Linked DNA regions of Canis lupus familiaris. The protein of the gene in region 1 purifies or fractionates together with the protein of each later gene. This does not show direct contact. Links are inferred from orthologs where the notes say so. Each region holds a gene or a part of one and is shown on either strand. Other genes may lie near its edges.

The links.
Region 2: the proteins of HIP1R (region 1) and PICALM fractionate together in Homo sapiens (co-fractionation; 3 studies listed by BioGRID and IntAct, with this or other methods). This does not show direct contact. The link is inferred for Canis lupus familiaris from reciprocal best matches to the Homo sapiens genes HIP1R and PICALM.

The regions. Positions count from the first base shown.
Region 1 is NC_049247.1:6,853,871-6,856,539, forward strand, and holds part of HIP1R (huntingtin-interacting protein 1-related protein), read right to left. Parts: intron 2,355-2,669; coding exon 2,247-2,354; intron 2,117-2,246; coding exon 1,980-2,116; intron 1,728-1,979; coding exon 1,617-1,727; intron 1,343-1,616; coding exon 1,284-1,342; intron 1,053-1,283; coding exon 1,022-1,052; intron 939-1,021; coding exon 876-938; intron 521-875; coding exon 420-520; intron 313-419; coding exon 207-312; intron 97-206; coding exon 1-96. UniProt on the Homo sapiens protein: Component of clathrin-coated pits and vesicles, that may link the endocytic machinery to the actin cytoskeleton. Binds 3-phosphoinositides (via ENTH domain).
Region 2 is NC_049242.1:13,530,210-13,534,456, reverse strand, and holds the start of PICALM (phosphatidylinositol-binding clathrin assembly protein), read right to left. Parts: upstream 2,888-4,247; 5' UTR 2,506-2,887; coding exon 2,376-2,505; intron 2,313-2,375; exon of another isoform or gene 2,058-2,312; intron 1-2,057. UniProt on the Homo sapiens protein: Cytoplasmic adapter protein that plays a critical role in clathrin-mediated endocytosis which is important in processes such as internalization of cell receptors, synaptic transmission or removal of apoptotic cells.

The DNA of each region.
Region 1 (2,669 bases):
CTTGGTAGAGGCCACCACATTGGCAGCCATCTCGTTGACGGTGCGGGAGCACTCCTGGAGGCGGCTCAGGTGGGGGCTGCGCTTGTCCGCCTTCACCTGGGGGCACGTGGGGGCAGGTCAGGCTCACCCCCCCCTCATCACGCGCACTTCCTGGCACAGCCCAGAGTCGAGGCCGAGGCTAGAGGCCACGACGCACAGAGCTTCACCTTGGAGGCGGCCACAAGCTGGGCTGTGCTGGCTGCGATCTCGTGGGAGCAGACGATGAGCTCTTCGTACTTGCCCATGTGGAGCACCACCCTGTCCGCTGACTCCCTGCAGACAGAGCCGGGCAGGGCCTGGGTCTCCGAGCCACCGCCACACTCCCTCCCCGAGACCCCGAGCACCACACACCCTGCTGCCCCCCCACCTGGGGGACATACACCAGCTGTGAGGCTCCCCAGCCAACAGCCTTGGAGGCAGAGATGAGGCCTTCAGTCCACCGAGAGTTCTTGGCATAAAACTCCTGCTGCGTGGCTGCCCCCTAGTGGCGACAGGAAGGCAGGGAAGGGTGGACCAGTCAGTGATGTCACGGGGCAATGGATCCCCACAGGGGATCACCTCGTCCACGAGGGGACATCCGTGGGCCATGTGGGAGATGCAGGTGTGACTCGGGCACATTGTGTGCATTCTGGGGAGGGGGGTCCTCATCACTTCACACTCTGGGAAGCCCATACCCAAAGGAGCCCGGAGGTCAGCTGAAGCCACTGGGGATGGGGGATCCTGGATCGTGGTCTGGGATGAGGAGGGCTCTGAGGTCACGCCCATTTCAGGAATCTGGCCCTTGCTGGCCCAGCCTCGCGGCCTGACAGGAAGGGCCCTGCTCACTCATCACTCACCCTGCCGCTCTCCACAATTTCCTTCTGCAGGCTGGTGGATGTTGTCACCAAGAGCCGGATGGCCTGCCAAGACCAAGGCACAGGTCATTCTTGGGGCGGCTTTCCCAGGCACACCATCCATCCTGGGATCCCAGCCAGCCACTCACCTTCATCAGGTCTGTGCAGGAATTGAGGATCCTGAGGGGGAGAAGCAGCAGGTGCAGGTGAAGAGAGAGAAAAGATTCTACAGGGTGACCCCAGGGAGTGTGACCTCTGAACAACTACCAGGCCTGACACAGGTGCTCAGCAGGGTGGGCCCATGGGGCAGGGTGTGCTCTGATTGTTTCCAGTCCCCTCTGGAGAGCTGAGCAAGCAGGACAGAACACCCTGGATTCTGGGGGGACGGGGGTGGAGGGGCATGAGGCTCACCTTTCATTCACCTCCAGCTTTACCCCGGAGCTGGCATGGCGAGCCTGGTTCATCATGTCCTACACCCAGTGACAGAGCTGTGAGCAGGCTGGGAGGGGGGCAGTGTGGGAGGAAGGGGGATGCGGTGCTGGACCAGCCCCATACCCCCCAAACAACCACCCAGCTGGGGCGGGAGAGGAGGAAGAGGCTGGAGGGAGACAGGGCAGGGGGTGCAGGGGGCAGCTCTAGGCAGAAAAGCCAGCTGCAACCTGCAGAGGCCACCTGCCCATGCACAGAAGGGGTGCAGAGGTGGCCACAGCTTACATTTGGCCCAGCCCAGCCCCCAGTCGTCACCTCAATCCTCCTCACAGCATCTTCAATGGCCGCGGATGTGGCCGCCATCTCCTTGTCCACCATGGCCCCAAGCTCCTCCTGACGCACATCCAGGCTCTTGGGCTTCAGCTCCTGGGGAAGAGGGCATGTAGGAGTCAGACCGGTGGACTGCTGAAGGAGTCTGGGAGAGGCTAGAGCAGCAGCATGCTGGGGGGCGGTGCTCTGACCCTGCCCAGTGTCCTCCAGCTGCCAGCTCTGCACAAGAGCACCTGTTCAGCCCAAACTAAAAGGAGGTGCAGAGAAATTGGGGACCCAAGCCTCACCCCAGGATCATCACCCCTCCAGACCCCAGCCCATGCTCAGTGCCATGGCTGCACACCTCACCTGGCCCAGCTGAAGGATGCCTTGTAGGGGGTTCCCCACTAGGCTGGGCTGGGCCAGGGGCAGAGTCTGCTGCTCCTGTAGGAGACCCAGGAGCTCCAGAGCCCGGGCCCCACACTCCCGGCACGTGTCCATCAGGCCTGGGGAGAGAGCACTGTCAGGGGGCCAGGCACCTGGGAGCCCTGGAAGAAGGCCCCGCACTGGGTCTGACACAAGGACCCTGGGTCCCCTGTGGGCACCGTGTGTGAGTAAAGCCCGGCGCGCACTTACGGTCAGCATGGTCGGTGGGGGCCAGGTGGGAGGTGGCGCTGCCATTAATAATGGTGTCTGCAGCCAGGTAGGAGAACTGGGTCAGGGCTGCCACCAGCACAGAGGTATCTGTGTGGAAAGGAGAGACAAACCCTATGCCACTGCCACGAAGCAAGGCCCAGACTGGGGCCTACAGCAGGTTGCTTGTGTCCTCTGCCCAGCAAGCCTAATGGGCACCACAGCTCCAGTTTATGGAGAAGAGGCAGGCTCGGAGGGGCCACAGTCAAGTGGCTAGACCGCAGCCAAGTAGGGAACAAAGCTTTGTCTGAGTGACCCCAGGTTCACAGAGCGGGCAGGACTGGGCTCCCAGTGGGTGTGGATGGGGGCACGGCTCTGGGAAACTCCACAGTGGCAGGAGGCAGCCATGGCCAGCAGACTGGGCAC
Region 2 (4,247 bases), on another chromosome or scaffold:
TTGCTATATGGGCATTTAAAACAATATGGGGAAAAGAGTATTTTAAAACCTTACTGAAAGGAACTCCAGTAGTGGCAACTTACATGGTTTTAAAGAAAAAAAAAAATCACACATTATCAGGAATATTCAAGTTCTGAAGTGGAAGCTTATAAACACAACTGTGGTAGAGAACTACAAACGTGAGTTTACCCTCCAAACCTAATCCCAACTGGCATGTACAGTAGCTGCTATTACATGAGAAAAAGGCTAGCACTAATAAAACCACAAGAAAATATCACTCTCCTAACCCTATTTAACCTATTTTCTACCCTTCTTGACATGTGTTAAAATGACTACTGCTACATTTAAAATACTGCAAAAACCTTTATAAAGACTTATAAAAGCCATACATTTCTTTAAAATGTATCATTTTCAAGTGAGCAGAGAGGAAACTAGTTCTTACAGTAACAAGTAGTTTCTTCACCTACCCCCAAAACCAAAAAAGAAAAAGAAAAAACAACTAACAAAAACTGACAGTCTCAGGGCAAACCATAAGATTAGTTACAGCAAGCCAAGTAGTCACTTGAAAGGAAGTAAACCGTAAAGCTGTCTACTCCAAATATCAGATAATAAAAAAATCACATTTGGCTTCACAAATTCATTTTAAAGAAGTTTCCATTTACAAAAGTGTCATCATTTAAATATATTCCACATTTTCTAAACAGTCAAGGACTGACAGTTAAAAAGTAGCCTGTATGATCAGCGCATTAGAGAAAAACCAAGCAGTAAGGATTTATTTTTTTTTCACTTTCCCACAGAGAAGGAACAAGTCACAATGAATAATGGGTTTGTCTGTAGCAATAACTTGTTCTAACAGAACTTCATGAGCAAAGTATCTTGAAAGAATTCACATTTTGTACTTTTTTTTTTTTTAAATGCAGACCTTACGGCCAAAGTCCAAAATGAGAAATCAAAACAGGACTCCTGTCAGTGAATTCCCTTTCAGGACATGCTCACTCTTGCTTCAAACAGTAAAGCAAAGTTAACTTTGATGTAGAATAAAATTCAGGCTAGTGTGTCCAGTTAACATTTTAAAAAGGAATTTATTATTGTGCCTATTTCCCTGTTTTTCTCCTGAAAAGTTTTAGGCTGCTCCACTGAGTCAAAGCTTGAGTAACCATCCACTGAGCTTTGTACCTCGAGGTAAAGAAAAGAAAAATGAGGATATTACAAGTGGCTTCCAGGTTTGGAAAAAGTTGGGAGGAGTCAGCTATGGTAATTGTATGTAAGTTAGTGAATGGAGTAATATTACGCCGGTTAAGAGAAAATGGTCCCCCGAGATAACCAGCATAAGTAAAAAGCAGTCTGAACTCGAGCATCATCAATCACCTTTTCTGCATTTTTAAAGAGAACGTATGTTATCCGTAGGTTTGATGTTAATCCATCTTTTATTCCAATAACCTACACTTCATACTAAACCTTCTAAACTCAAACCGCCAGGGTTAACAGTTCCAGAAAATGATACCACTATCAGCCAATCCTTCTGCAGATTCCCATTAGAAAAAGAAATATGGGGGGCGGAGGAGGGGGGGGCTGACATGCACAACTACCTAAAAAGCGTGAAAATAGAATGATCAAATTCCACCAGAGGCAATTAAACGCTTCCCACAAAGCGTTCCCAACACCCAAACGGAAAACCTTTACTTTCACTGTCACAAAGAAAGTAATTTGGGATAAAAGTCCTATTGAATAGGATGCATCTGACATAAAAAGAGACGAAGGGACCTAACTGAACCTACGGATGCAAAGAAATGTAACCCCAAAATGAGAGAGGACAGAAAAACCAGAGAAGCGAAGGGGCAGAAGAGGCCGGAGGAGCAAAGGAAGTGGGGATCGCTTCAGCCGAGGCAGCCTCCAGGACCGCGGAGAAGCCGGGATCCAGGTCCGCGGAACCGGGCGTTTACGGAACCCGAAGGCTAACGGGGAAACAATGGGGGCGGAGAGGCCGGGAGCGAGCGGAGACGTTCAGGAGAGGGCGACGAGGGAGCGCGCCGGGGGGTCAGCGGGCAGGCGGCTGCACAGGCAGAGGCGGCAGCGAGCGCGGAGAGGCCGGGTGGAGAGGCAAGTCGGTCGGGGTGACGGGGTGACGGGGCGTCGCGGCGCCCCGGGCGGGAGAGCCAGGGTCCCCCAGGCACCTGGGCGGGGGAGTGGCTTATCCGGGAACGGAAGCCGTGAAGGCAGGTGTGATGGAGGCAAAGAAGAATACACCTCGGAGCGGCCCAGGACCCGCCGCGCCAGGCGAGGCGCCGGCGAGGAGGCGGCAGCACAAGGGGGTAAGAAAACAGAAGGAAGGGACGCGGGTGGCGGGGTCGGGGGCCGCGGTCGGCTTCACTCACAGTCCAGGTGCTTTTTCTTGGGCCCCATGATCTCGTGGGTCGTGGCCTTGCATACTGTCTTGGAGACGGCGGAGCCGGTGACACTGTGCTGGGCGGCGGTGATTCGGTCCGTCAGGCTCTGGCCGGACATCTCTGCGGCTCCTCCGCCACCCCTCCCGCGCGGCAGCCGGCGGGGACAGGGACCCCCAAGCGCCGGAGGACCCCCACCCCCCACCGCACCCCCTACCCCCACCGGCTCCTTCTCCGCCTGCCGGCCTGGGGCGGGGCTCAGGGCCGCGCGCTGCCACCCAGCCCAGAAAGAACCGGCTCGTGTCACCCGCGGGGTCAGGCACGGTGTCGGGCACTCCCCTGCCCCCGCCTCAGCTCAGCCCACCCCTTCCCTGGTCAGCTGGAGCCGGGCAGGGCAAGAGGGACAGGCAGCTGCAGGAAAATGGCGGCGCCAGGCTCCTCCTCGGAGCTTTCCGGGCTGTCCCGGGTCACGTGACTCGGGCGCCGCCCCTCCGCCGCCTTCTCCCGCCCCTTTTCCCTTCCCTTTCCTCTTCGACGCCCGCCCTCCCCTCGCTCAGCGAGGGAAGAGCGGGGCGGCGCCCGCGCGTTACGTGATGGAACCCGCCCGGCGGGCGCAACAGGAGGCCCGCCCCGGGGCAGCGCGCGGCCGGCCGCGTCACGTGACGCTCCCTGCCAACAGGTCGCCCGAGGCGGGCCGCGGGGGTCACAGAGGGCAGGGGCGGCGGGGGAGGGGCGCGGCGGGCGCGGCGGGCCGGGAGCGGGCGGGGGCAGGTGGCGGCCGCCTCGGCCGCGTCTCCCCTCTCCCGCCCCGAGGGTCTCCTGGTGCGGGTGGTTGAAACCAACAGCCTGACAAAGAGGAGGTGCGGCTGCCTTCGCAGCTCCGCCTGGGCCAGGGTCGGGCAAGGGCTCCGGATCCCGGGACTTCAGTGGCCGAGTCAAGATTTTGCTGAGGGACTCCCCCGAAGGCGTCCGCCTGGTTTTACGGAAAAGGAAGACGCTTCATTCGGCCCATTTCCTGAGCCTGCCAGCAGGCCTCTCCCTGCCGTGGAATTGTTGACGCTCTCCCTGCTTCCCTACTCCAGAAGGGATGGGGTTCCCCCCCCCCATTTTCTTGAAAGGCTTGGAAATGTCACCCGTTTCTGTTTATTTCTCCTCTGAAGACTCAGACACGTTGCTGCCGGACTAAATTTAGAGACTAACCGGCCTGTATTCCTTCTGTAGGGTGTCAAATAGGACAGGAAACACATAACTTCACTGGAATTTGAAAAGGGAAGTAGTAGGATGATGTCAACAAATTAGCTTGACCCTACAAGGCCGAGTGCCTTCGTGACTTAGGTCCAGACCATAGAAGGAAGTGAGAGGGCTGGCAAATGGAGAAGTCCCATTCAAAGAATTGAGACATCACTACCTGCCATCACCCCCTGCTTTAGTCTTTCTTCCCTTTGGCCTTTTTTCTCTTGGGTAAACCGGATTTTCAGAGGAGACACGGACACTGACCTGTAGACATTGTAGAGAAATGAACTGTCCTGTGAATCTGTTCTAGGAGATGCATATCTTTAACAGAGCCTTTTAAAATGTCACTAGGGCCACATTTATCTCAAGTTTAGGGATAAATTTTAAAATCTCTATGAATGTTAAATTACCGTGGTAGTCCTACGTAATCTTGCTAGTTTCAAATGAAATGCTAACATACTCCAAAAGTCTGTGTACGCCATCTGCCAGCCAAATCCAAAATCCGTGCTTCAATCTGGTGACTCTCAGAAGATGCAAAGCTAATAGTTAACATTTTATGTATCATATCACAGATTTTGTGGTCTTCTCCCATTCCCTCCCCCCACTTTTTTCACTATGGCTGGTGAAATT